4 linked regions of the Arabidopsis thaliana genome follow. The protein of the gene in region 4 purifies or fractionates together with the protein of the main gene of each other region. This does not show direct contact. Each region holds a gene or a part of one and is shown on either strand. Other genes may lie near its edges. The genes, in order: AT3G55760, AT4G24820, AT4G34150 and KRP2.

Region 1 (7,433 bases), 1.9 Mb from region 4:
TCTCATGAAACTGCCTCACTTCATCGCCATCGCGGGTGTTGTATGCGCGATTTTCGCAATCGGTATTCCTCATTTATCAGCTCTTGGAATCTGGCTAGGAGTTTCAACAATCCTCAGCATAATCTACATTATTGTTGCAATAGTTCTATCAGCTAAAGATGGTAAACTTTTATGTTAAATCAAACCTCGAAAATGATTTCATATAACCACAAAAAAACTACTCACCATTTTGTGTGTTTTTGTTTCTGGTTTAATAGGAGTAAACAAGCCTGAAAGAGATTACAACATACAAGGATCATCAATAAACAAACTCTTTACCATAACAGGAGCAGCTGCAAATCTAGTTTTCGCATTCAACACGGGAATGCTCCCGGAAATACAGGTCAGTGTCATCGATCTATTATTCATGCTCGATCAAATCTTTCTCTGTTTTGTGAGTGACACTAATCTTTTGTGCAAATGATTAGGCCACGGTGAAGCAACCGGTCGTTAAAAACATGATGAAGGCTCTGTATTTTCAATTCACTGTTGGTGTTTTACCTATGTACGCGGTTACATTCATCGGATATTGGGCTTACGGGTCCTCGACATCGACTTATCTCTTAAACAGCGTCAGTGGACCTGTTTGGGTCAAAGCACTCGCTAACATTTCAGCTTTTCTCCAATCTGTTATCTCTTTACATGTAAGTCTCTATCCAGACCACAATGATGAGTCTTTGAGTCTTAATCCTAAGCTTAACCGTTTTAATTCTTGTGTTTTTAACGTAGATTTTTGCAAGTCCGACTTATGAGTATATGGACACAAAGTATGGAGTCAAAGGAAGTCCATTGGCAATGAAGAATCTGTTGTTTAGAACAGTAGCAAGAGGAAGCTACATTGCGGTGAGCACTCTTCTCTCTGCGCTTTTACCGTTTCTCGGAGATTTCATGAGCCTTACCGGAGCGATAAGCACGTTCCCTCTCACATTCATATTAGCGAATCACATGTATCTTGTTGCTATGAATGATGAGCTTAGTCTTGTGCAAAAGCTATGGCATTGGCTCAATGTTTGCTTCTTTGGATTAATGTCTCTTGCTGCTGCTATTGCTGCTGTTAGACTCATCTCTGTTGACTCCAAGAACTTCCATGTTTTTGCTGATGTTTGATTAAAATGTCTTCGACATTTTTAACGATGTAATCTTTATACCAATTAGAAAAAATTTGTAATCCTTTTGTTGTTACTTTTATTATTTCAAATGAAAGAAATTTTTTATAACATAATATATATATTTATTTTTCGGTTCAACACAAATTTTTTTTTTAACAAAACAATTCAAGAGATAAATAGATATAAAAAAAAGTAAAGTGAAATTAATCAAGTAGTCATATTCTTAAGCAAAGCCATATTCATTAAGAAAATAAATAATCATTTTCTTATGCAGAGCCATATTTGGGCCAAGCCGTATAAACGTTTGGGCCAACTTGTTTGAGATAGCATATAAGCCCAATAGAGTTTTGTTGCTGAGCTTATTTGTGAATCCATATAAAGTCTTGACCTAATAACGAAAGCTAGGGTTTTTTCTCTGTGAAATCGCTCGCCGGCATAAAAGAGAGTCAGAAGAGGAAGAAGAGAGTTACAAGGATTGAAAATGAAGGGACGTCAAGGAGAGAGAGTTAGGTAATTAGGGTTTCGAACACATATTTCTCTCTATTTTCTCAGCTGAATCTCCGATTCGAATTAGTTCGTTAGTGCTTTACATTAGTCTGATGACATCTTTGTTTTGCTGTTTTGCAGATTGTATGTTCGTGGAACAGTCCTCGGTTACAAGAGGTACTTTCAATTTTCAGTCTTTCTCTGTATGTTCTTAGATTTTTCAGAGTTCAATGTTGCGTTTATGGTTGGAGATTGTAGTGTTTAGTTTCATTATTCTTAAGTTATTTGGATTTGAATATTCATCTATCGTTTTGGATATCAATATAAGATCTCGATAAAAGTTTGTAACTTTGCCACAACTGATAGATTTCAATGATAATGCTCTCAGATTTGTAATCTTATTCCATGGTTTCTGATTTATGGTTGTGCAAAGTGATGCATTTTTGCTATTGCTTCCTTTAAGATTAGCTTTTAAGCAGTTGGTTGATAGTTTGATTGCTTATATAAAGCGGATTAAAGATTGATTACTAACGATTAAGTAATGTTTCAGGTCCAAGTCGAACCAATACCCTAACACTTCTCTCGTCCAGATTGAAGGTGTGAACACTCAAGAGGAGGTTAATTGGTACAAGGGTAAGCGTTTGGCTTACATCTACAAGGCAAAGACAAAGAAGAACGGTTCTCACTACCGTTGCATTTGGGGCAAAGTCACTAGGCCTCATGGTAACAGTGGTGTTGTCCGTTCTAAGTTCACTTCAAACCTACCACCCAAGTCAATGGTACTTTATCTTCTTGAGACATAATCATGGTTAATTGGATTTTTTCCTCCAGACTAATCATTTTTGATCTGCTGTGTTTACTCTCAGGGAGCTAGAGTCAGAGTCTTCATGTACCCTAGCAACATATGAGGTAATAACAAACTCACTTCAGTTTTATTTTTGATGCAATAGTCCCATTTATTGCTTTCATTTCAGTTGAATTGAACACCACTGATTCTGTAACTTGAGATTTAAGATTAGTTGTTTCATTTTTCTTCTCTAATGGCGAAACCTTGTCAACAAGGCTATATCTATTTGAAAGGTTGTGCATTGTAGTTAAGAGCAATTAGATTATAATCCTTTAAGTATAATAGATTGTCCAAGATTTATATACTTAAGTGAACATGGATCCTGATTCGATTTCCTAATGCAGGAGGCTAGATTTCAACAAGTATCGGAAGGAATCGCCATTATCATTTCTCAGGAGCTGTAGTTTTATCTATTCACTTTTATTCTAGACTCTCTGTTGGTTTTGATTTTATCTTGAGACGAAGTAAAACATTTTTTTTCTTGAGATCATATACTATCGAGTATTAATGGAACTTGAGAAAAGCTATGATCCCAGTCATTTTCCTTATTTAGATTTCTCTTACTCTATTCCCTTAACCTTTTCTCCAATTTGAGTGTTGATGAAAGAAATCATTTCTCCTTCATGCTATAACTAGCAAGTAGCCAATGTAGACTTTTTCTTGCAACTAAATCAATTTATTCTTGGAATATTAATTCTAGTTGGTATATTAAGTAACTTCGTTATACTGATTCCATTTATTAATGATTAATATGATGCAAAAAGTTACAATTTACACAGTTAATCAATCAAATAAACCATTTATTTGGCACCACCCGCCAAAAAAAAAAGAAGTACCAGATATTTGGTGCCGACATAAGAAAAAAAAAGAGAGCCAAAGTACACAAGTTACAATCCCACACTCACTGTGTCCTTAAACACAATCCTCGAGATTCTATTCCTTGCTTGCATCATTTTCTTCTTCCGTGTATTTTGGAGTTTCGTTCGAGGACAGATCTTGATTTGACTCAGCTCAACTTGAGGTAACAAAAATCTTTCCTTTGTGATTAATTTTCCTACGATCTCACAAAGGTTTCGCCTTTCTCTTTGATTACAAGTTTTTAAAACTGATTCTTCCTTGTAATTGGAATTGCAAGCGAAGAAGAAGAAGAAACAAATGGCTTTGCGTTTAGGTGTTTCTATAGGGGCAGCTTTGGGTTCCTCTCATTGGGACGACGGACAACGAGTACGACAACGTGACTTCTCCGCTTCTGTGAATTTCACCGCACCGGTTACGAGCCGGAGGAGCTTAAGGGGTAGTAGAACCGGTGTGAGGATTCTTAGGGTTTCAAATGAAGGACGCGAATCGTACCTCGATATGTGGAAGAACGCTGTTGATCGCGAGAAGAAAGAGAAGGCCTTTGAAAAAATTGCAGAGAATGTTGTAGCTGTTGATGGTGAGAAGGAGAAAGGAGGAGACTTGGAGAAGAAGAGCGATGAGTTTCAGAAGATCCTCGAGGTTTCCGTTGAGGAAAGAGATCGGATTCAGCGAATGCAGGTCGTTGATCGTGCCGCTGCCGCAATCTCCGCAGCTAGAGCTATTCTCGCCTCTAACAATTCCGGCGACGGCAAAGAAGGATTCCCAAATGAAGACAACACTGTCACAAGTGAAGTCACAGAGACACCGAAAAATGCTAAACTTGGTACAAATCTTCTACTTGTTAGCACAATCCAAAGTTAATGATAGTATTAGTCACCTTACTTGGCTATGTTATTGGAAATTTTATTAGGAATGTGGAGCAGAACAGTGTATGTGCCACGGTCAGAAACTTCAGGGACTGAGACACCAGGACCAGATTTTTGGTCATGGACACCTCCTCAAGGTAGTGAAATTAGTTCTGTGGACTTGCAGGCTGTGGAAAAGCCTGCTGAGTTTCCAACTTTGCCAAATCCTGTATTGGAGAAAGATAAATCAGCGGATTCTCTTTCGATACCATATGAGAGTATGCTTTCTTCTGAAAGACATAGCTTTACTATCCCGCCTTTTGAGTCTTTGATTGAGGTTCGAAAAGAGGCTGAGACGAAGCCTAGCTCCGAGACTTTATCGACAGAACATGACCTTGATCTCATATCTTCAGCAAACGCGGAAGAAGTAGCTCGTGTTCTTGATAGTTTGGATGAATCTTCAACGCATGGAGTTAGCGAAGATGGATTGAAGTGGTGGAAGCAAACGGGTGTGGAGAAAAGACCTGATGGTGTGGTTTGCAGGTGGACAATGATACGTGGGGTTACTGCTGATGGTGTTGTTGAGTGGCAAGATAAGTATTGGGAGGCTTCTGATGATTTTGGGTTCAAGGAACTTGGTTCTGAGAAATCAGGACGTGATGCCACTGGAAACGTGTGGCGTGAGTTCTGGAGAGAGTCAATGAGCCAGGTTAGTGTAAAGTAGTTGCCGTAGTAAATCTAACGCACTATAGACTATTTGAGACTTAATTTGAATTGTCTATTACAGGAGAATGGTGTTGTGCATATGGAGAAAACTGCAGACAAATGGGGAAAGAGTGGACAAGGTGATGAATGGCAAGAGAAATGGTGGGAGCATTACGATGCTACCGGAAAATCAGAAAAATGGGCTCATAAGTGGTGCAGCATTGACCGCAACACGCCTCTTGACGCTGGCCACGCTCATGTCTGGCACGAGAGGTATTCTCAAAATCCTCTTTTCACATAACGAAACACTAATAACATAATCGAATCTTTATCCTTTAACTTTCAGTCCTTAAAATATCAATCAATCTCTTTAACACAAGTTAGAATGTTTGTCCTTTAACTTTTACACCTTATATTGTTGAACATCAAATCAGTTCAGTAGCAAAACATTGCCTTTTCATACTCTTTAAGGTGCTCTATTAACATTTAGAAGCTTAGTCTGCGAGCTTTGTTGAACTGTTATCAAAACAGAACTGACACTAGACAAGCTGTGACCAAATAACAGGGAATGTAGAGTGTTTCTAAATATGTCTTGATTGGTTTTGACCAGGTGGGGAGAGAAGTATGACGGGCAAGGCGGAAGCACAAAGTACACAGACAAGTGGGCGGAACGGTGGGTAGGTGACGGTTGGGACAAATGGGGAGACAAATGGGACGAGAACTTTAACCCGAGCGCTCAAGGAGTGAAACAAGGTGAGACTTGGTGGGAAGGGAAGCACGGCGACAGATGGAACCGAAGCTGGGGAGAAGGTCACAACGGATCAGGATGGGTTCACAAATACGGAAAAAGCAGCAGCGGTGAACACTGGGACACACATGTACCACAAGAAACTTGGTATGAGAAGTTCCCTCACTTTGGCTTCTTCCACTGTTTTGACAACTCTGTTCAGCTCCGAGCCGTTAAGAAGCCTTCTGATATGTCCTAGATATATCAAATACTAAGCATAAAATATATAAATAAGCTGGGACAATCAAAGAATTGGCCTACAATATTAGAGTAGTTTGATCAAGTGCAATGTATGTAATATTTATTATGACTTCTAATTTGTTCTATGCTTTGGTGTTTCTTAATGAGTATGGCCAAAGTTTATTTGGTAGTTACTAATATAACACAAATCTGATTAGAAAACTGGAACACATTCCATTCCAGGAGCATAAAGTTATATGAACAGATAATCTAAACTCTTTATTTGGTAAAGATAAGAAGACAAATATTTTCTGTAACCAATAATAATCTTCAGTTACATTTGTATTAAATTCTAATAAAAAAAATATACAGAGGACAAGCCAAAGTGGAACCCCACCCACTGTCTTCTCAAAGATTAAAAAAAAGAAAAGGATTTTACCCAAAATCTCCGATATTCTTATTCCTTTGCTGTATCATCTTCTTCTTCTACTTCGTCCTCATCATCGTCACATAGATCCTCCTTTTTCGTTAATTGGGGAGAGATATACGTAACAGCTCTTCTCTCTACAAAGAAGTTGACTTTTGCATCCTTACATCTCTCAAATCTTTCTCTGGTTAATCTGTATTCGTGTATTTTTGCAGTTTCTTTTGAGGATCAGATCGTGACAGGGTTTAGCTCAAGGAGAGGTATTAGATCCGTACTTTGTGATAAACTTTCTCAAGGTTTACGATCTCATTCTATCTAGATCGGCTTCGTATAGATACAATCTTGTTTCAATTAGCAATGGATCGATTTTGTTATTCGAATATTTAGAAAAAGGAAAGATTTTTCCAAAGGGGTTTCCTCTTATACCATTTTTTCTGGGTTTTTTGAAATTTAGGGTGAGAAAAAGAAGAAGAAGGTGAGAAAAGTGAAGGCAAGGCTTTGAGGATGTCTTTTACAGGAACTCAACAGAAATGCAAGGCTTGTGAGAAGACTGTTTATGCTGTTGAGCTTCTCTCTGCTGATGGAGTTGGATATCACAAGTCTTGCTTCAAATGCACTCACTGCAAAAGCAGGCTTCAGGTCTGATTCTCTCATCTTTGTATTCATGTTAACGATGCTGCTTTAATTAGAGGAATGAGTTTACGAATTACCCATCTTCTTGCTTAAATGATGAATTGAATGTCTATTGTAACCATAAGCAGCTCTTGATAAAGTAAATGTCTTTTTACAGCTGAGTAGTTACTCATCAATGGAAGGTGTTTTGTACTGTAAGCCTCATTTTGAGCAGCTCTTTAAGGAGAGTGGTAGTTTCAACAAGAACTTTCAGTCACGTATGTAGTTTTGTTTCTGCTTCGATTCATGTTTTTTTTCCGCTTGCCCTTCTTTTGGTTATTGATTTAATCAGTCTTGCAACTTTGTTTCCTCACAGCTGCAAAATCGGCTGACAAATCAACTCCTGAGCTGGTAAATGTTTCTTTTCTGGTTTGGTCAGATGCTCTTTGGATACATTTTCTGATTGAACTTTTCTCTTATATTTCCTTCTTGGTTTGTTTTCAGACAAGGACGCCTAGCCGAGTTGCTGGCAGGTTCT
Region 2 (8,353 bases), on a different chromosome or scaffold from region 4:
ATCAATTGTCTAAACATACCAAACCGACATTTAACCGGTTTCGAATTCTAAATCATTGGGGAATTGAGAGAGATATACATTGTTTAACGGTGTATAATCTGTCGAAATCTGCTCTTAGTTTGTTGGGTTTAAATATGGAAACGTTTTTCATATTTGAAGAAAGAAAAATCAATGAGAAATAACAAAAAAACGATATCGCCGTCGTAATAGAGAAAAAAAAAAAAGAGTGTCGAAACCCTAGAGGACGTGGACACTGTTGGCATTCTTAAAAGAGCCACAAACCCCATTGTCGAACGAACACAAAACCAAACCGCAGACAAAGAAACAAATTCGCAGACAATAGTCGAAAATGGCTGAAATCTCGGCGACTTCGTTTCCTTCTTCTTCTTCCTCTGCTCTCGTCATCCGTAGCTCCCACAATGGTTCTCTCTCTCTCTCTATCCCCCCATTTCTTGTCTCCTCCATTTCGTTTCCTTGTTTTTATATTATTACCAATAGCTCTAGCTTGAATACAAAATTCTCCATTTCCCCGACAGTTTTCGTTTCTGATGTCTATTTTTATCTCCGCGAATTGCAAATGGGACTTCAAGTTATTAATATCTGATATAATTTCGCAGGTAGCTTAAAATGTCAGAATGTAGCTGTTCCAAAAACTACTTCCCAGTTCCAAGAGGTACATCCATTTGAAATCGATGCTCATACTTGTTGTTTCTTCGATGATACAACTAAATTCTGTATTTGCTTTTTACTGAATTTGCAGTTATCTCTGAAACGAAGCCAGCTTGTTGGCAATGCCGTTGTTACCGGTCATGTTACCGGATCCCGCAGCTGCAAGAATCAAGGTAAAGTTAGCATTACACTGAATCAATCCATTTCCTTTAACATATATTCTTTATCCCCTCTTGATGAAATTTTCCATTAGTACGTTTTAAACAATTTGCTGTCTTGAATATTGCACAGCTATTCGAGCTGTTCTATCCGGTGATGGAACCGCCTTGACTACTGATTCAAAGGAGGCTGGACTTCGTGGAAAACTGAAAAAGGTCGTTCTAGCTTACAGTGGAGGCTTAGACACCTCTGTCATTGTGCCATGGCTTAAGTATGTTTTCCTTTTTCTTGAGTTTATTTCTGACCTCTAACAAGAATACGTTTTGAATCTTCCTCTGGTTATGAAACAACTAGTCTGACCTTCCTTATATGTAACTATTTGTTTTCTAGGGAGAACTATGGTTGTGAAGTTGTGTGCTTCACTGCTGATGTTGGTCAGGTACATCACAAAAATGCCACATGTCAACTGTTTTAGTTAAGAAATGAAGTTTTATGTTGTTGCAATCTGCTTATGTCTTCTCAACCTCTAAATACTTTGATGTGAAGGGCATAAAAGAGTTAGAGGGTTTAGAACAAAAGGCTAAGGCTAGTGGTGCTTCTCAGTTGGTCGTTAAGGATCTCACAGAGGAGTTTGTGAAAGATTTCATCTTCCCTTGTCTTAGAGCTGGTGCCATCTATGAACGAAAATACTTGCTTGGTACCTCCATGGCTCGACCTGTCATTGCTAAGGTAACATTTCGAATGGTTTTATATGATTGACTTGTGAGGACTACCCCCACTATTTCTAATATCTGGATATATCTTTTGGATTACATATTGTCACTAATACATTTTCTAAATGATTAGGCCATGGTTGATGTAGCAGCAGAGGTTGGAGCTGATGCCGTTGCACATGGGTGTACTGGAAAAGGAAATGACCAGGCAAGTACTTGGAATGTCTTGCTAATGCGTCACATTGGAAAACACGCATTGATTCTTACATTACTTTTTTGTACTGATTGATTGACCAGGTTCGGTTTGAGCTCACCTTCTTTTCATTAAACCCTGAACTTAAAGTTGTGGCACCATGGAGAGAATGGGAAATCCAAGGCCGAGAAGATGCTATTGAGTATGCAAAGAAGCATAATGTTCCCGTCCCAGTGACAAAGAAGTCCATTTACAGCCGGGACAGAAACCTGTGGCACCTTAGTCATGAGGTAAAGTAAAAGACAAGTGTTGGTTCGCATTTTTCTTTTGGATACAAATTGATCCAGTTTGTCACATTGCTCAGTTCCTAATAATGTGTCTCATGCTCTGATATCAAACTTATGTGTTTTGTTGAAAGGGTGATCTATTGGAAGATCCAGCAAACGAGCCAAAGAAAGATATGTACATGATGAGTGTGGATCCTGAAGATGCTCCTGATCAGCCTGAGTAAGTTGGAATTTCTTTGAGCCCTTGTGTTTAACTATGCACTGTAATTACCCCAAGGTGGTTTGTAGTGGATTATAGCTGTGTTGATAGTTTGAAAACTAAAGTTGAGTCAGTTAGCTACAGAGCTGAGGTTTAGGCAGAATGAGTTGGTGTGTTCAGGATTTGTTTATGGTTTGGGATTGGGAATCAGATCTAGAATAGAGAGTTCTCGTTATTAAAGTCTCTCAAAGGAGTTAACTGGTTTAGCTGCTATGCTATCAAATTTAGATACCAAGAGTAGGATTTTGCAATTTGCATCCTAACTTTTGATACTTACACACTTATACAGATACATCGAGATCGGGATAGAATCTGGACTTCCAGTGGCGCTGAACGGGAAGGCTCTGAGTCCAGCCACACTTCTGGCCGAGCTAAACACAATAGGAGGAAAGCACGGGATTGGGCGGATTGACATGGTTGAGAACCGTCTGGTTGGGATGAAATCACGAGGTGTGTATGAAACTCCTGGAGGCACTATCCTCTTTGCAGCTGTACAGGAACTAGAATCCCTCACTCTAGACAGAGAGAGTATTCAGGTAAAAGACACATTAGCACTGAAATATGCAGAGATGGTCTACGCAGGAAGATGGTTTGATCCGCTTAGGGAGTCCATGGACGCTTTCATGGAGAAGATAACCGAGACAACCACGGGATCTGTGACACTGAAGCTGTACAAAGGATCTGTGTCGGTTACAGGGCGTCAGAGTCCTAACAGTCTGTATAGACAGGACATATCTTCGTTTGAAGGGAGTGAGATCTACAACCAAGCGGATGCAGCCGGGTTTATTCGTCTTTACGGGCTTCCAATGAAAATTAGAGCTATGCTTAAGAAAATTAGCTAGAAATGGTTTTCATTCATGTCTTACTTGGAATTGAGAGCCTGACATTAGAACACATCCCTTATTGTGATGCGTCGTCATAGCTTCAGCTTCTTTCGAAATAATTCTATCATCTTTCTTCACTTTGGAAAAACTTGAGAAATTTAATAATGAGTGCCTCTTTCTTTTATGATTTCCATTGGAAAGAGATATAAAATATAAATATCCATTACTTGAATTCAACGATCTTAAGTTTAAATTATTTATAACGAGAATTTAAATGTAAATGTTTTTTACTTTTTTTTCTTATGGTAAAAATTCCAAATTTAAATGTAAAAAAAGATAAGGGTGTTTAAGGTAATGCGAAACTTATTTTTTTTTTACATACACAAAAAAAAAAAACCATCGGACCTGAAATCTTTGTAAGCTCTTCCTCCTTGCTCAAGCAAACCTCTTTTTATATATTTGCTCTCTCTCTCTCAGATCCGATTCAAGCTTTCCGATTTGCGATGGACGGTGGAGCGGAAGGATCTCAGCAGCCTCACCTTATTCTAGCCAACAAGCTCTTCCTCCTCACTCATCCAGATGTTCCAGACATCGAGAAAGTCCAGCTCAAGTCTGAGGTTTTGGATTTCATCAGATCCCATGGTTAAGCAGCTCCTTTTCTCTAATCAGTGAGAATTAGCTTAATATTTCTTCGAGATTTTATGTTCCTGATGTTTCGTTGGTGTTTTTATTTATTTTAGGTATGGCTCCTTTGTACGAAACCCTAATTGCCTCTTCGGTGCTGGATTTGGATCAAAGCTTGTTAGAGTCTATGCGGGCCGCTAATGAAGAGGAGCTTAAGAAGCTCGACGAGAAGTAAGTTTCCTTCAGTTTCTCACTTTTATTTGGCAGTGCTTTGAAATTCGAATTCTCGTATTAGTATTTTGGGTTAGATTGATGTAGGGGGACTGTAGCATTCTGGGTCTCAAATTGGATTCAGAATTGTGTTTGCAAAAGTCCACTATGAATTTTGGGAATCTCCATGTTCCTGTGGTAGCTGATGTAGCATGATGTCTTAGTATTCTTAGGGAGATAACCATTACCTAACCATTGGTTTCTGAGTCCATCTTGGCCTCCGCTTTAACTTTGTAGAAACTTCTGAACCAGTATGTTATCAGCCAAAGTTCTCTTACATATTCTTTTCTTTCACTTTTTTCAGGATTGCAGATGCAGAAGAAAATTTGGGTGAAAGTGAAGTTCGTGAAGCTCATCTTGCTAAGGCTCTGTATTTCATCAGGATTAGTGATAAGGTATGTGGCATATCAAAGTTGATAGTTATGGTAACTTCCGTGGATCGTGGCCATTAAATTTTTGTTTTGTAATCCTAGGAGAAAGCTTTGGAGCAGCTAAAACTCACTGAAGGGAAAACTGTTGCTGTTGGACAAAAAATGGACGTGGTGTTTTATACGTTACAACTTGCTTTTTTCTATATGGACTTTGATCTGGTATCAAAGAGCATTGACAAAGCAAAAAAGTAAATGTCAATTTGGCTGTATTTTGACTACTCTTCATGGATAGTGCAACTGAAATCCTTGAATTAACACTTTCCGTTTTCCCTTGCCAGATTGTTTGAAGAGGGTGGTGACTGGGAGAGGAAGAACCGGCTAAAGGTCTATGAAGGTTTGTACTGCATGTCCACCAGAAATTTTAAGAAGGCTGCCAGCTTATTCCTGGATTCTATATCAACCTTCACAACATATGAAATTTTTCCATATGAGACCTTCATATTCTACACCGTCCTGACAAGCATCATAACTTTGGACAGAGTTTCCCTTAAGCAAAAGGTATTTCTCAATGGCTCAGTCTTCCACTTAGAGTTGTCTAAACTTAGATAAAAACTTTTTAGTATGTCGACTTATTAAAATGATGTATATCCATGTAATTTGTTGAAATTCTTATCAAGTGCTACTAATTTGACAGGTCGTTGATGCACCTGAGATCTTAACCGTGCTTGGGAAGATTCCATTCCTTTCTGAGTTTCTGAACTCCTTGTATGAGTGCCAGTACAAGGCGTTTTTCTCAGCATTTGGTAAGTTCATTACAAGGACCAGAGGTCATACATCCGAATGCATGTTGCTTGGCTTTTGTCTGTATGTTTACTAACTTCATTGTCGGCTTATGTTCTCAGCTGGAATGGCGGTGCAGATAAAGTATGACCGTTACTTGTACCCGCATTTCCGGTTCTACATGAGGGAAGTCAGAACAGTGGTGTACTCTCAGTTTTTGGAATCTTACAAAAGTGTGACAGTTGAAGCAATGGCAAAGGCCTTTGGCGTTTCTGTCGATTTCATAGACCAGTAAGCACAATAATGAACGCTCTTTTGTATATTTATGTTTGCCACCTCTCTTTAGAAGCATACAAAAAAACGATAATACAAACTTAAATCTGACTTGAAATGTATTTTTTTTTTTATCCAGGGAGTTGTCGCGCTTCATTGCTGCTGGGAAGCTTCACTGTAAGATAGACAAGGTTGCAGGTGTTTTGGAGACAAACCGTCCTGATGCAAAGAATGCACTTTACCAGGCAACAATCAAGCAAGGGGATTTCTTGCTAAACCGAATCCAGAAGCTGTCTCGTGTGATCGATCTGTGAGCATGCTACATGTTTCTGTTTCACTCTTTCGTCAAGCTTTGCAACTTGGAAACTCCGAACGGTAGAATCTTAAGGTCTGAGAAACGATATGAACTTTGGATTTTGAGATGAATGGCTGTAGTTTCTTTCATCAACTCTAGTTGGTTTGTCAGTGGTGAATTTCCCAAGAACAAAGAGCAAGTTTAATCTCCAATGTTCATTTTATTCTTCCTCGCATATGGCTTTTGAATCTGTTGTTTTCATCGCATCTATCTAGTATCTAAGAGAAAACGACCACCATACCTCTTACAAAATAAAGCTTTTGTTTCACAAGGTGTATTAGTTGACCATATAGATATACCAAGAAAAATGCATTAGTACACTTCATAATCTGAATGGTTAGAATTGAACACAAATTAGATACATCTAAAGGACAGTCCTTGGTTGAACTTGTGAGAGATACATACACAGTAGTTGGTAACTTGGTATTTTGCAGATTCTTCTTCCACGGACGTCTGTTTAGTGAATTAGGTGAGATTCTTCACCATCACACTTATAGGATTTACAATTTGTTTCTTACTGTTTAGTAAGTTCCTTTTTTCCTAAATTTTTTGATATGGTCTGGGGTTAGTAACAAGACCATCATTGTAAACTACTTTAAGATTTGAGGAGATTAGTACCTTATCTTCTATTGCCTGCCTAATTATAACCAGTGACTCACAGTGAGTGTGACATAAGACAAACGGATTTTGTTTCCTTTACAATTTAACGAAACAGTAATTAACACTCTCGAATGGATTCGTAGAGAGCAGCAAACTCCACTCTGACGCCATACATAAACAATTCTTAACTTTATCCTCTCATCCTTATCACTCTTCCTCAAAACTTCGAAAATGCATGCGATCGATTTCAAAGAGATTCAGGAGAAGCTCTCTGATGGATTCCGGCCTTGGCAACGATCGTTTCAGTTCTGGGCTCGTGCCACTGATATCTACACCGGATACAAGGTTTCTCTTTGATTGATGGGTACTCCTTTCTTCTTCTTCATGTTTCGTTTTGTAATACATTTTTCTTATGATTTTCTGCAATTTTCTTTCAATCTGTGTCTTGTTCTGGGCTTTTAGGTATTTCAACTTCGTATGAACTTCGTCAAGGATGTTAATAAGCACGAGGAGATGTGGGAGAGACAACATGAACTTGCTGCTCATAAAGTTTATTCTATGTGCTCTGACCTTGGTGGTTTCTTCCTTAAGGTAATGGTGTGTTGAGACTGTTGTTGAGGTTTGTGATTACCAGAGGGGACTTCCACGTTTGGGATTGTTATGAATTACTCATCTTAAATCTTGTTGTAACAAAAAGTATGAGTTTTTTTTTTGTTTCTTTGATGAGAATAAAGGTTGTACATTTTACTCTTTGATTGTTCACAGTTGCTTATGATGAGTTTTTTTTTTTTTTTTTTACTTTTTTTCATTTTGTTCAATAGATTGCACAAATTCTAGGGAAACCTGACTTGGCTCCAGCTGCTTGGGTGAGAAAACTCGTCACTTTGTGTGATCAAGCTCCTGCCACACCATTTGATGCCGTTCGAGTTGTCCTGGAGAAAGAGTTAGGTAAAAGCATCGAACAAGTGTTTGAAACATTTGATGAGAAGCCTCTTGGCTCTGCTTCTATTGCTCAGGTACTACATTCTTCATCACTCATAGTTTCAGAACCTTTGTACAGTATTACCGTGCATGCTTATAAAATCAGATAAGATTATAGTTTGGTTAAGAAAGTCTCAATATATACTGTATTTCACTTTCTTTTTGCTTCTATCTAGGTACACCGAGCAAGAGTAAAGGGTGACAAGAGGGATGTTGTTGTAAAGGTGAGGAATAATGAGGAGAAAACTGAAATCTTCCTAGTCTACTTTTAATTGGTTTCTGAATGTGCTACGACATGTTTAGGTCCAACATCCTGGCGTTGAGAAGTTGATGATGGTTGATATCAGAAACTTGCAAATATTTGCATTATACATGCAGAAAACTGATATCAAATTTGACTTGTTCTCCATGACAAAGGAAATAGAGAAGCAGGTATATATCATTCTTTCTATATTTTGAGGGTATCTGGTAAGAACTTTATAGCCGCCAAGTCACTATCAGTCCTTGTTTTCATTTACTAGATTGGGTATGAATTCGACTTTAAAAGGGAGGCCAATGCAATGGAGAAGATCCGACGTTTTCTATATGATAACAATAGAAAGAGTCCTGTTCTGGTTCCCAGGGTGTTTCCAAATTTGGTGACCAGGTACTTATTCTTATATTAGCATTCTGGTTATCCCAATAATGTTTTAAGGCTTTTTAGGTTGTCCTGTTTCACTGATCAAGAATTATGGTTCCTGTCTTTTCGACATAGTCTCTTTCCATTCGAAAGTTCTTTAATTTTCGGTTATATTCACTAATGAGTGCTGATCAGAGGAATAATCATAATACGCACAGGAAGGTTCTGGTTATGGAATTCATGAACGGAATCCCGATCTTGAGCCTTGGTGATGAGATGGCAAAAAGAGGGATAAATCCTCATGGTAAAATGGCAGAGGCAGCAAAATTGTAAGCTCCTCCATTATCTCAGATAGGTTTTTGACTTTTTCCAATGG
Region 3 (7,405 bases), on a different chromosome or scaffold from region 4:
GTTATAATCAACATCCCAGTGCTTCCAGCTATGAGAGGGCTTCTGGGGAAAATAATCAGGATTGTCAGATGTTGTCAGCTAATGGTCTTTGCCTGGGATAATGCTTATTAGAATTTTATATTGCATACGTTGGAATGAATTTGCTCTTCAAGTTTGGAATTTAAGGAGAGAAGCTACAAATTGTGTTTGTTCTCCAGGAGATGATGATGCTGAGGAACTTGAAGAGGGAGAATGGATTCCTGAAGAAGATTTTGATCCACAAGAAGAGAACTTTGGTGAAGGTTTTTATCTCTTCTGTTCTTTTCATTTGCTTTATTTCCGCTCCATATCAGCTTTCTTGGTCATGGTTTTTGATATATGAAGCTAAATAAATCCTTATTCCTCATGGTGGATAGTATTTTTCTCTCGTAAGCTGATCTTAAAATTTGAAATAATTAACTAACCCCCGTAGTGCTGTTTAGGGGGATCTTATTACTTCGATGATGTGTTTTCTTCGGCTCATATTCATAGCTTTCATGCTCACTGTTTCATTTCTAGCTGCTCCTTCAAGCGAGGAAGAAAGATGGCTAGCACAATATGGTCAAGTCATCGAATCCCCTGGGAAGACCCTGCCTGAGATCCCGTCTGTTGATTTGTGGGATTGGAAACTTGTATGTGAAACCAGAGAAGCTGACAATGAACAGGTGGCTAGGTTAGTAGGGAGGCTGGTCAGACAGTCGGCGAACCTTCATCCATCTGTGGTTTCTGGTGGCACACTTTTAAAAACTGCCCCAATTTGTGAAGCTCGGCTTCACCTAGTGCGAGTTAGGACAGGTTTACCATTTTCCTTCTAACCGAGCCTTGTTCCTGTGAAATGTGAATAAATATTGTGTTGCTGCAATCGATTTTTGTTAACCTGGTGTGCTCTGTTATATGGGGAAACGTAGAAAACGAATTTGATTTTCAAATGATTTATTCCAGGTCAGGTCTATAAACTTCGAAATCCTAGTGCCAAATACCTTGCATCCTTGTCAGTATATGACGCCTCCAACCCAACAAAAGATTGGGAATTCCCTGATATTTCAACTGAATGGCAAAATCCTGATACAAAACGCAAAGCCAAGAAGGGGAAACCAAAAAGGGCCAGCAAACTTACAGTGAAGCCTAGTGAAGTAGACATGATTGAAGAGGTACTCCAAATCCACCTTCATGGCTGAATTCTTGTATTTTATGTTTGAAAATGTTTGTGAAGGATGTAAACACCTCTTGAGATTCTGTCAAATATCTAGCAGAAGACAAAACGCAAAGCTAAGAAGGTAAAACCAAAAGCTGACTGCAAACTTACGGTGAAGCCTTGTGAAGTCGACATGTTTGAAGAGGTACTGCAAATCCATCTTCATGGCTGAATTCTTCTATTTTTTGTTTCAAACTGTTTGTGAAGGATATTAACACCCTGCTTCTTGAATTTTTGCCAAATATCTAGCAAGAGACAAAACGCGAAGCTAAGAAGGTGAAACCAAAAACTGACTGCAAACTCACAGTGAAGCCACGAGATGAAGTCAACATGATTGAAGAGGTACTCGGACCTCACCTTCATGGCTGGATTCTTGTATTTTATGTTTCAGAATGTTTGTGAAGGATGTAAACATCCTGCTGCTTGAACTTCTGCACAATATCTAGCAGGAGACATTTTTCTAAAGCTCTGTGTATGGGGAAATTCAGTGAGAAACTTAAATCTGTTAAGAGTATTTCGAAGGCATAGTTTAGTGTTATTAGAACCCTAGTAAGCTAGTATTTTCATTGTTGCTCCTTGTTGTTTATCAGCAGAGAAGCTGTTCATACAGAGATAGAGCCGCTGAGAGAAGAAATTTGCATGGTGGATATGGTGTTGGACCAGGTCAAAAAGGAACAACAGTGGACCATAACACGGACGAGCATTCAGTTCCCGACACTGGTTCTGAAGAGGATACTGTAGCAGAAGCATTGGAGCTATCATTTGGATCTGGAAGTTATGCAAGGAGGATAATGGGAAACATGGGTTGGAAGGAGGTAACTTGTGGATCTTATCACTTGTGAGTTGTGATGTTATTTGGTGTCACCGTAATTTATGATTACTGGGGAAATGCTAATGCAGGGTGAGACGCTAGGGAAGAATACAAAAGGTTTGGTTGAACCGATACAAGCAGTGGGCAACACTGGGAATGTAGGGCTAGGATTTCCTCAAAGGAGAAGGAAATAATATGAGGTACAAGATATTCAGTTTAAGGGACTCTTAGTGTTCATATATTACTTGAGAAATTGAGTTACTATATAAACTTGGATTGGCTTATAACAAGAGAGGTTGCAATAGGTAGCTAAATTTCATCTAGACTTGTAAGAGTTGAGAATCATTTACTTGCTGATTTTGAGAAATAGAATGAGAAATCGAAGTACCAAGCAATAGACAAGTTGGTTTCGATTTTTATTGGACCAAGCAATAGAACTGTATCAAGAAAACAACATATCGGATTTATGGTCCATTTTCTCTTGGTCGACAATTTTTTGAAATGGCGCGACGTTGAACAAAAATTATACGAACAAAGAAAGCTATTTCCAGGTTACTGCCTTTATATTTGGATGACTTGTTCCAAGGGGAAACTTTTTTTTTTTTTGTCTGTCATCTGATGATATTAGAACTTTCAAAGGAACCAAGATGATTGCAACAGCTACACTGTAATCTATAACCATCATGCCATTGGACGCATCCTAGTAAATACATAAGAAAGACACTCCCTTTATTTTGGTCTCCGTTCTTCAGCCACACCTTATAATATCATCCACAAGATAATAAGTGGTGTCTAGCAAATAACAAAGCGAAGCTATATCTATATTTATTTACTTATTGATTGTCGTGAATCTATCTTTAATGGTGACATGCCATAGAATTATCACTATTGTGTGGTTGTGCTTGTAATTGTTTGTAAAAATTTTGATTTTATGAATCAAAGATTATCAACATCTAGACTTTAATAGTTAAGGAAATAATAATATTTAAAAAACGCGTACCTAAATCTAATGAAAAGTCAAAATTACGGTCAACGCCTTACGAGACGCGTCTGGTTCTTGAAAGCAAGTTCTGCGTTATTTCATCATCAATCAAAGTCGCCATTTTATTTTTATTTAAAGTCTCACGTCACGGAATTATCTCTCTGAATTCATCATCTTCATCATTACCTTCTTTTTCTCAATCTCGATTGTTTTCTTCCAAATTCATGTCGATGATGGCGGGTATACAAGGCCAGATTCTCGAGGTCACTGGTTCGTACCTTTCTCACATCCCCAATTCTATTATGTTCTTCAACCTTATCTATGATCCGTTGAAATGTTAACTTTTAAAATTTCTGGGATTCTTTTGATTTGTCAGTTGTTGGGTGCCAGAAATTGAAAGACACGGAATGGTTTTCAAGACAAGATCCATACGTCGTCCTTGAGTATGGTGGCAGAAGTCACCGTACCAGAACCTGCACAGGTTATTTTTAATACCACCTCTTTTATTCATAATTTGTTCAGATCCAGAAAAAATTGAACAAAGTTAAGATCTTTCAATGAATTTGATTGATGGGTTTGTTTTTTCAGATGGTGGAAAGAACGCTGTTTTCCAAGAGAAGTTTATCTTCACTTTGATTGAAGGGCTTAGGGATCTTAAGGTTGCTGTCTGGAATAGCAACACTCTCTCCACTGATGACTTCATTGGCAATGCAACGTATGTGTCACTTCTTATCATTGCCTTGTTATGCTTTTTAATACCCGCTTTGGATTTGGAATTGAGTCTTTTGTTGTTTGGTTGTTATTAGGATTCAATTGCAGAAAGTTCTTTCTCAGGAATACGACGACTGTACCTGGACTTTGCAGAGTAAAACTGGGAGGTAATTACATTGGCTTTACTAGTTTTTGTTCCTTTTCCATTAAGTATCATGTTTGGTAATCTCGATTATTGCATGGTTCACATTTGTCTAGCTGATTTTGGTGCAACTTTTTGATGTGGTTTCTACTATATAGTGCTTGAATATATAGTTTCGCCAGTTGCTTTGCTTTGCTTTGCTTTGTTCTTGTCATTTACTTACAGTGCTGACATGGTTTTGCTCACTGATCAGAGTCGTTATGTGTGTTTTTGTGTCCTAAATTGTTAATCTGTGTGAACTACTTGTTCGAATGTTCTGTTTCTACATTGAGCACACTCACAATTGATGTAGCATTTTGATTAGGTTTCTCTGGAACTTATGAAAGATAACTAGACATTTTGACATAAATGGAGCTTCTATTGTCTGTTGTTAGGTTACCTCAGTAAAGAGATGTGAAGTTGCGTTTAAACATTGTAGCATCAAATTAGAATTTCTTAAAACTGGTCTCTTGAGGTATTCCATTTTTGTTTTTGAAAAAGAGAAAGTTATGTGTTTTTTAATCCATGGCTATGTGTTTTGTTTTCTTAAATTCCTGGAAAATCGGTTACAATGTGCCAAGATTTTGGTAGCTTGTCCTCAGCGATTGCTCCTTGTAAAAGATTACTTTTTTGATTAAAAGCCTTGTGAAAAACATCAACCTTTCTGTCTTGTAGATTCGCTGGAGAAGTACAACTCCTACTGCATTATGCGGGAGCAAAGGTAAGTCGAGCCTCAATTAGCAACATTGGTTAACATGTTCCATTATAAACAAAAGGCTAAACACACAATCCACTCTTGTATGCAGAAACATAATTACGGGTCTGCGCCATCAGCACCGTATGCACCTCACGTACCTCAATACTCAGCACCGCCTTCTGCATCTCCGTATTCAACAGCACCACCATACTCTGGACCATCTCTATACCCACAAGTACAACAATACCCTCAGCCATCAGGATACCCTCCAGCTTCAGGGTATCCTCCTCAGCCATCTGCCTATCCACCTCCCTCAACCTCGGGCTACCCTCCGATCCCTTCAGCTTACCCACCTCCTCCGCCATCCTCAGCTTACCCTCCTCAACCATACCCTCCGCAACCATCATATTACCCACAAGGTACCTTCCTTTCTTTCCTGTTCTATGCTGCAATTGATCGCATTTGCTTGTCTCTAACTATAGTCAGTGGTGGTTGATCTTTTTTCTTCTTGTTTCCAGGTCCATATCCAGGACAATACCCACCTCCTCCATACTAGAGCGTTTGGCGTTTAGAATTTGACGGGAAGTGGTCATGATGTATAGATTATAGTTATGGTGTTTTCTAGAATTTGGCAGACGAATTTCTTTGTTTTGTTTTTTTTATATCATCTTCCTTGTGCTATTGCTAGCGTGATGGTTAATTTTTGAGTTGGTCAGTGAAACTTATTGAGAAGTTTGGATCTTTTCATGTTTAACCAGATCGCAGATTATATTGAATTATTACTCTAAATCCTTGGTTTTGTGTGTTCATCATCCTCTTGAGTTAAAATTATGTTAAAAACAAAAAAAGGTTTTGGTTCTGTCTTTAACTTTAAGAAACGGAACTTATCGGCGTATAATCATCGCACTTGTGATCAGATGCAATTAGAAAAAGGTTATTTGGTCAATGTATAGCAATATCTTTAGGTTCTAACAAAAACATTATTGTTGACAAATAGCCCAAAAGTAGTAGAATTTAGCCGACAGATTTTACTGCACTTTGGTTTCTCGATCTCTACTCCAAATGAGTAAAAAGTGGGTAAAGCGGGAAACAGCAAAAGAAATCACACATTTAATAAAAAATAAAGAAAAAGAAATTCCACATTAAATAATCACAACAAGAAAAACAAATAATATATTAGTAAAAGACAAACGTAAAAACCATCTCTCGGCCTTCTCTCATAAATCAATCTCTCTTCTTATCACTCTCCGAAACCCACTTCCAGCTTTTTCCTCTCTCTTTCTCTCTCTAGTCTCTCTTTTGTAGCTCTCCCCTGCTAAGCTAACCACTGCACGTTTCCATAGAGAGGAAAGATGAGTCTCTCTCCGAGAGATTTTCTCTCTATCATCTTATCTTCTTCCGTGTAATGCTCTGAGCCAAAACCCAATAACTAAATCAACAACAATATAGAAGAGAAGAGAAAGATCTTATCTTTCTTCTCATTCTTGAGTTTAGTCCCCCACAATGGCGATTCGGAAGGAGGAAGAAAGTAGAGAAGAACAGAGCAATTCGTTTCTTCTTGATGCTCTCTACTGCGAAGAAGAGAAATGGGACGATGAAGGAGAAGAAGTTGAAGAAAACTCTTCCTTGTCTTCTTCTTCTTCTCCATTCGTTGTTTTGCAACAAGATTTGTTCTGGGAAGATGAAGATCTGGTTACACTCTTCTCCAAAGAAGAAGAACAAGGACTCAGCTGTCTCGATGATGTTTATCTTTCCACGGATCGAAAAGAAGCTGTTGGTTGGATTCTGAGAGTCAACGCTCATTATGGCTTCTCTACTTTAGCAGCTGTTTTAGCCATAACTTATCTCGATAAGTTCATCTGTAGCTACAGCTTACAGAGAGACAAACCATGGATGCTTCAGCTCGTTTCTGTCGCGTGTCTCTCATTAGCTGCTAAAGTCGAAGAAACCCAAGTCCCTCTTCTTCTAGACTTTCAAGTAAATGATGATACTTGCAATAAATTTCCTTAAAGTTTAAGTCTTTTATCCCTCTGTTCTCATCTCTCTGTTTTTTTGGGGGTTTGCAGGTGGAGGAGACAAAGTATGTGTTTGAAGCAAAAACCATACAGAGAATGGAGCTACTGATTCTGTCTACTCTCGAGTGGAAGATGCATCTCATTACTCCAATTTCGTTCGTAGACCACATTATCAGGAGATTGGGACTTAAGAACAATGCTCACTGGGATTTCCTCAACAAATGCCACCGTCTCCTCCTCTCTGTAATCTCCGGTTCGTAAACGACAAAAAGAAAAAAGCCACTCCATTTCGTTTTACCATCTGCTGAATCTGAGTAATCATCTTACATTCTTGTCTTATCTTCCTCAATTGTCTTTGTCAGATTCAAGATTTGTCGGGTACCTCCCATCAGTAGTTGCCGCAGCTACCATGATGCGAATTATAGAGCAAGTTGATCCCTTTGACCCTCTTTCATACCAAACTAATCTCCTCGGTGTCCTTAACTTAACCAAGGTTAGCTTCTCTAATCATCTCTCTACTTGTTTTCACTCAGTCATTTTCTCAAACAACTCTCGTGCATTAACAGGAAAAGGTGAAAACTTGCTACGATCTAATCCTCCAACTACCAGTGGACCGCATCGGTTTACAGATCCAAATCCAATCTTCCAAGAAACGCAAGAGTCACGATTCATCATCATCGTTGAACAGTCCAAGCTGCGTGATTGATGCAAACCCTTTCAATAGCGACGAAAGCTCAAACGATTCGTGGTCAGCGAGTTCGTGCAACCCACCAACGTCGTCGTCGTCCCCGCAGC
Region 4 (5,858 bases):
CTGAGTCAAAAAAATGTACTGCATTGTTTGAACAAATGTACTAAGATCAAAATGTATATCATCATCAGTTCATCACCATATTTCGAAAAGAACAATACTTATAAATTTTCTGTTTAATTACTTAATCAATAAAAGATGCGTATGGTATTAGAAACAAGCTTTTGTCAATTGTGAACAAGCAAAGAAAGATCCAATTCTAATAGAATTCAGTTTCTCGAAATTTTGTATATAAATAATAATGTAAGGAAGATATATGATCATATGAATGGGCTCAGAATAATTTTAAAGGGACTTGTTGTTCTGTGGAACACAAGATTGACAAAGGAATCTCTATATTGGGCCCGTAGAGTCCAACTCATAAAAACGAACAAGTGGAGAAAAAGACTCCAGCTCTCTTTACCACTTATTGACAAAAACAAAAAAGAAGAAACAAGAAAAGAGTAAAATCTTTGCCTCGTGGGTTTTAGTGTACATTCTCGCATCTTTGTGTTGTGTCAGTTTCTTTAACCGATCAGTACAGTACGACAGTTTTAAACATTTTAATCATAACCTCTGAATTTTCTCGTTGAATCTTGAGTTCTAGTATTTTTAAAGTAAGAGTGATAATAATGACAAACAAAAAAAAGTACTCCGTAGAAAAGGAGAGACCAAAATTAAAGGAGGAAAAAGTTAATAATAAAGCCATTCTTGGTTTAGGAAATTAAGAGAGTTATGTAATAATGGCAGAGTTTGGTATGAAAAGATTTGTGATTGACCATTTCTTTACTCGTAGAAAGCGACCCGGAAATAAACACCAATCATATCTATCTGTATTTTTTATTTTTTTAACAAATAATTCTGATCTTTAGATCCATTTTTTGGTCCAGGAGTAGCTTTAACTATGTAAATCATTTTTCTTACAGAGATTTAAATGACTCAACTTCATTCTAACTTCATTTTTCTAAACAAATAAGTTCTGATCTTTAGGTCCATTTTTTGGTCCAGGACTAGTTTTTAAAGACCGTAAATCATTTCTCTTACAGAGATTTAAATGACTCAACTTCTTCTTCTTCTTCTTCTTTTTTTTGGTTGTTGCTAATCGAGTATAAATTATAGGCGTTAGGTACACCAACCATATCTAATATCCATGTTATATTAGATAGATAAATTAGGAAAATAAAATAATACAACTCAAAATAGTTACTTTGTTGAAAGAAATTGAGAGGGAAAAACTGGAAGTGTATATTTAAGCTATTTTATTTTTAAAAAATATATAATTTCAAATAGCTAAATTTGTAAAATGCAAGGAGATAGTACAATATTTTAGTTTAATAACTTGTAAAGCACAAACAAGTTCGTAGTTAATCACTAGAGTAGCACCTACAATCCAATCCAAGTGAGAATAAAATAGTAACTTTTTTACTGAAAAAGCCTGATCAATAAACAGTTATATTCCTTTACCACGTCAGCCGTGACCCTTTTTTGTTCTGCTCTACACTCTCTTTTCATTGTTAAAAAAAAAAAATCAAATACTGTATGATAATTGATACATAGAAATAATAGAAGCTATTTAGTTTTCAGTAACAATTATAATTACTCTTAGAGTTATAAACTTATAGTTTATTAATCGAGAAAAACACGAATCTAATTAATTACCTCAAGGAAGTACAAACAAAAGTTGAATTACATGTTATTGATTATTCGAGAGAAAGATATCTACATTTGGATTTTGTTAAAAGAAAAATCAAAGCAAAGATTATTACAGAAGAGAAATAATAAGTACTTTGGTGAAAACAATGATCATCATTATCATCATCGTCTTCTTCATGGATTCAATTTAACCCACTCGTATCTTCCTCCACCAAGTGGCTCATCTTTCTCGAAATCGAAGTTATACCTAACAACAAATTCATTATCAGTTTCAAAAATTCGATTAAAAGATTTGAATCAAAAAAAAAAAACTTACTTCATAGAACATTCCAACAACTTATTCCGAAGATCTTTCTCCGCCACCTGAAAAAAGTCTTCTAACTCAGCTTCCTTCACCGTCTCATGGAGACTCTTCCTTAACCTGCGGCGAGACTCTACATCTTCAACAGCCACCGAAGAAGAATCCATGTTCATCGATTCCTCACTATACACAAAAAAATCAAAGACATTTTATAGAAATGTTTGTTACTGATTCAAAATTTTAATATCTGTAACAAATTAAACAAACCTCTTATTCAAATCATCGTAAATCCACGACGTTTCTGTTTCACGATCGTCACCGTTATTTTCCTGGAAAAACGAATTCAAAAATTTCAAAATCTGTAAATCAAAATTCAGTTTCGATAAATAATGCTTTCGTTGTCACCTCAAGATCTACAAATTCGATTCTCCGTTTCGATTTCTCTTCCGATGTAGAACAACACGAAACCGACGAATCTTCTTCTTCGATTTGACACTGTTCTTCAACCGGAGGAGAATCTCGCCGTCGTACTATAACAACACTCGTCTCCGACGCTCCTGCTGAATTTCTCGCCACAATTCCACCGCGATTCGTCGCCTGTACACACGGAGACAGAATTATCCTAGATTCCACTAAATCCACTTCCTCCTCCATCTTCCTTCGTTTCACCGTCGTCGTCGTAACTCCATTCTCTTCAACCACATCTCGTTCTCTTCTCCTAACCGCCGCCATAATCTCCTACGACGTCACCTTCCAGATCTCTATCTCTCTCTAAAATCACTCGTTATGTGTGCGTGTTTGTGTTTCTCTCTCTTTCTCTCTACTAGAGAGTCTCTAGCTCGCGTACCATTTGGGTTATTCTGTTATAAGATGGTGACGATCTTCGTTTTGATCGTAATTTGTTAACGGCCACGATTAACTCTTGTCATTTTCATATAAAGCCTCGTGTGAAGTAGGAATAGTAATTCTTTTAATATGTAACGGAGAATTTGACGGCGCCGTTAAAAATCGAGTATTTTATACCTTACACGATTGATACGTGTCTTTTATTCGTTACGATTACATTAATAGTTTCAAAGTTTACAAAATCAGTGCAATTAGTGCATATCTAGTTACTTTAGAATGATAAATTTTTTTGAATTCAAATTTTTTTGAATTAATATGTTGTTTTTATTTATTTTAATATAATTGGCTGGCTTTTCCAATAAATCAACGAGAATGAAAATAATTATTGTGGATATTAAGATAAAACTGTTTATTTTTTGTTATAATAATTACGAATTTATATTATAAAGATAACAATAATACCATCAAATTATCATATTAATTCACAGACGATCAAATAGATAAAAAAATGTGTGTAAAGCAATATAATGTATATGCAACATGGAATTTGACAACGATGTTATAGATCGAGTATCTTATACCTTTACACGATCAACATATGTCTTTTATTCGATGTGATTACATTAACGGTGTCAACGTTTACAGAATCAGTGCATATCTACGACTACGTTAACGGTGTCAACGTTTACAGAATCAGTGCATAATTTTTTTTTTAGAATGGTAAATAGAATTTGAATTCAATTTTTTAATTAATATGTTTTCTGTTTTTTAAAATAATTGGTTGGTGTTTCCAATGAAATAGAATGAGAATAATTATCGTGGATTTTAAAAATAAATTTAGATTTGATAATTTTTTGTTGTAATAATTGCGAATTTAGATTATAAAGACAATAAAAATCTTAGATTTATAGAGAAAAATGACAATATCATCCAATCATCTTAAATAGATTAAAAAAAATGTGTGTAAAGCAATGTAATGTTGTCACGTTACATTATTAGTGATAATATGTGTTTCTGTGTTAAGATCTTATCAGTATTTGACAATGTAGTTGTGTATAGTTTTTCAATGCATAGTCGTAATATTTCAATTTTGTGAGGGGGTCGACCGTACACATATCAAAATAAGGTATAAAATACATTAAGTCTAAAATACATTAAGTCTAGGGCCATGACGTATTTAACGGTTAGGTGATAATGAAATCAATGCTGCGACATGCTGTTTTGTTGTGGCAATACAATACGTACACAAACATATTCACATGCTTAAATATTACTACTAATTCACACAGTGAATTAAATACTACTAGTTCATATCGCATACATTTCGTTGGTAAAAATAAAAGAATTTTTTTCCATCATCATTTTCGTCTTATATTGAATTTTTTCTTTTTTTTTAATGCCGTCGTTCTGTATCGATTCTTGAGTTCACACAAGACAGTGTCTGCGCATATCCATCATACCATTCAATTTAATAATGTGCCCACGAGCTGCATACTCAATCATTACTAAACTGTCTCTCTCTTTTTTACACTCACTATAACAATGTGTAAGTATATATACATACTTATGAGATATTCAAAATAAAATAGTGAGCTAAACATATAATGTAGTTTAAAAATTCGCATAATATATGTTGTTGACTTCAAAAGAACAAAGATTATCATAACAATTACTACGAAAATAAAATTATCATATATCTATGTATACATCCGTAGTTCTTAATTATGAAAACTTAAACGCTAGTACCAACAAATGAATCCCTAAGTTTTAAAATCTCTCAATGAATACATATTGATATTCGTTTTGAAGGATAATTTTCGATTTAAATTGTGATAGTATTTATCGTAAAACATTACTTTTAGATATGTCCCAGTTTTTATCCAAATATACATAAAGACTGTGCCTATCATGAAAAGTGAAATTGCAACACATCTAAATATATCTTTCTAGATGGAAAAGATATCCAATAAAAACGAAAAAGACTTAAGTGAATGCAGACAAGGGCACATGGGATCTTTAGTGATTTGTATTGTGTGGGCACGAAATTTTATAATCCATAAAGTCTATATCATGATCACAATTTGTAATCACGTATAAATGTTACTACAAGTCTCCAAAGCACTTAAACCCTTTAACAAAACAAAAAAAAGTCTCCAAAGCACTTTCTATCGTTTTCTTACAGTTATATCAAAAAGACAGTCACTGATTCAGAGTTTCATAATCATTTACAATTATAGTGTAGAAGAATGCAGTTTAATCTTGAGTACATAAAAATACAGCAAAATGACTTAAAACCGTATATAGTGTAGACCAAAATGCGAAGCAAAATTGCCGTTTCTCCATTTCTAAAATTTGAAGATGGCTTAAGTTTAAAATAGTCGTTAGTATGAGTGTTTGATTAACGAGTAAAGTGATAAGTAGTAAAGTATTATGTTGAGTAAAAAAAAACCTTTAACTTCACATTTTTTTTTGTTACTTGCGTGATCGAGTGTAGTTTTTTTTTTGTTTTTTTTTGGTTATTTTATCTGATCGAAGAATGGAACCTTAGTTATATGACATTTCATAGTTTTGTCTGTTTCTTACGAGATTAACGTAATTTATAAATTCAATTTGTGGGGATCATGTATAGGTGCGAAGCTACCACATGATTCACAACCACTGTTGGATTGTCAAAACAAAAAGATAAAAGAATGATAATTGATGGAGGTGGGTGGACCCAAAGCAAGGCTAAATATATTCCCAACTAAAACATTAATTAAATTGATCAAGCTAAAATGTATATATATTCTGATTTCTCGATCTGATTTACATATGTTTATGCGACCCCAATAATGTCCTTTTATGAATTAGACAAGAGTTCTTATGGTATTTATGTATTTAGTATTTGAAGTTTTGAACATAAAACAAGATCGACTTAATTACCGTAAAAGACAAAACAGAAAAGAAATAAGTTGATAAACTACTAACTATTCAGAGAAAAACAGGATTAATTTCATTTTTTTTCCTTTTTAAAAATGAAGTACGAAGTCTATTTCACAAGAAATTAAGAAGATTAAATTGTAGTAATGAACATGTCCTTCCC

What was found.
Region 1: the proteins of KRP2 (region 4) and AT3G55760 purify together in Arabidopsis thaliana (affinity purification with mass spectrometry, with the first as the bait; one large-scale study listed by BioGRID). This does not show direct contact.
Region 2: the proteins of KRP2 (region 4) and AT4G24820 purify together in Arabidopsis thaliana (affinity purification with mass spectrometry, with the first as the bait; one large-scale study listed by BioGRID). This does not show direct contact.
Region 3: the proteins of KRP2 (region 4) and AT4G34150 purify together in Arabidopsis thaliana (affinity purification with mass spectrometry, with the first as the bait; one large-scale study listed by BioGRID). This does not show direct contact.

What each region holds. Positions count from the first base shown.
Region 1 is NC_003074.8:20,697,012-20,704,444, forward strand, and holds AT3G55760 (uncharacterized protein), read left to right. Parts: upstream 1-3,302; 5' UTR 3,303-3,502; exon of another isoform or gene 3,503-3,616; 5' UTR 3,617-3,636; coding exon 3,637-4,162; intron 4,163-4,249; coding exon 4,250-4,893; intron 4,894-4,971; coding exon 4,972-5,162; intron 5,163-5,499; coding exon 5,500-5,875; 3' UTR 5,876-6,119; downstream 6,120-7,433. Other genes in the region: PROT2 (proline transporter 2), read left to right, coding at 1-161, 258-382, 468-683, 769-1,146; AT3G55750 (Ribosomal protein L35Ae family protein), read left to right, coding at 1,630-1,658, 1,776-1,811, 2,185-2,413, 2,501-2,542; WLIM2b (GATA type zinc finger transcription factor family protein), read left to right, coding at 6,788-6,922, 7,074-7,173, 7,272-7,306, 7,400-7,433. UniProt on the Arabidopsis thaliana protein: Binds preferentially to highly ordered alpha-glucans, such as starch and crystalline maltodextrins.
Region 2 is NC_003075.7:12,787,854-12,796,206, reverse strand, and holds AT4G24820 (26S proteasome regulatory subunit Rpn7), read left to right. Parts: upstream 1-3,484; 5' UTR 3,485-3,607; coding exon 3,608-3,746; intron 3,747-3,844; coding exon 3,845-3,959; intron 3,960-4,302; coding exon 4,303-4,393; intron 4,394-4,471; coding exon 4,472-4,617; intron 4,618-4,707; coding exon 4,708-4,927; intron 4,928-5,063; coding exon 5,064-5,172; intron 5,173-5,271; coding exon 5,272-5,440; intron 5,441-5,561; coding exon 5,562-5,736; 3' UTR 5,737-5,890; exon of another isoform or gene 5,891-6,138; intron 6,139-6,415; exon of another isoform or gene 6,416-6,608; coding exon of another isoform or gene 6,609-6,722; exon of another isoform or gene 6,723-6,839; coding exon of another isoform or gene 6,840-6,968; exon of another isoform or gene 6,969-7,156; 3' UTR 7,157-7,177; downstream 7,178-8,353. Other genes in the region: AT4G24830 (arginosuccinate synthase family), read left to right, coding at 350-422, 618-673, 761-842, 961-1,099, 1,219-1,267, 1,375-1,557, 1,675-1,749, 1,839-2,024 and 2 more; AT4G24810 (Protein kinase superfamily protein), read left to right, coding at 6,609-6,722, 6,840-6,968, 7,199-7,393, 7,535-7,582, 7,662-7,790, 7,880-8,004, 8,196-8,306. UniProt on the Arabidopsis thaliana protein: Acts as a regulatory subunit of the 26S proteasome which is involved in the ATP-dependent degradation of ubiquitinated proteins.
Region 3 is NC_003075.7:16,351,805-16,359,209, forward strand, and holds AT4G34150 (Calcium-dependent lipid-binding (CaLB domain) family protein), read left to right. Parts: upstream 1-3,052; 5' UTR 3,053-3,230; coding exon 3,231-3,276; intron 3,277-3,382; coding exon 3,383-3,487; intron 3,488-3,594; coding exon 3,595-3,721; intron 3,722-3,812; coding exon 3,813-3,884; intron 3,885-4,573; coding exon 4,574-4,619; intron 4,620-4,704; coding exon 4,705-5,014; intron 5,015-5,113; coding exon 5,114-5,151; 3' UTR 5,152-5,656; downstream 5,657-7,405. Other genes in the region: AT4G34140 (D111/G-patch domain-containing protein), read left to right, coding at 1-84, 198-281, 538-813, 961-1,169, 1,269-1,358, 1,463-1,555, 1,807-2,028, 2,114-2,218; CYCD3;1 (CYCLIN D3;1), read left to right, coding at 6,099-6,572, 6,662-6,863, 6,973-7,103, 7,177-7,405.
Region 4 is NC_003074.8:18,797,312-18,803,169, reverse strand, and holds KRP2 (KIP-related protein 2), read right to left. Parts: upstream 2,865-5,858; 5' UTR 2,663-2,864; coding exon 2,336-2,662; intron 2,260-2,335; coding exon 2,198-2,259; intron 2,114-2,197; coding exon 1,946-2,113; coding exon of another isoform or gene 1,942-1,945; exon of another isoform or gene 1,877-1,941; coding exon 1,804-1,876; 3' UTR 1,575-1,803; downstream 1-1,574. UniProt on the Arabidopsis thaliana protein: Binds and inhibits CYCD2-1/CDKA-1 complex kinase activity. Regulates cell division which is crucial for plant growth, development and morphogenesis. May regulate early lateral root initiation by blocking the G1/S phase transition.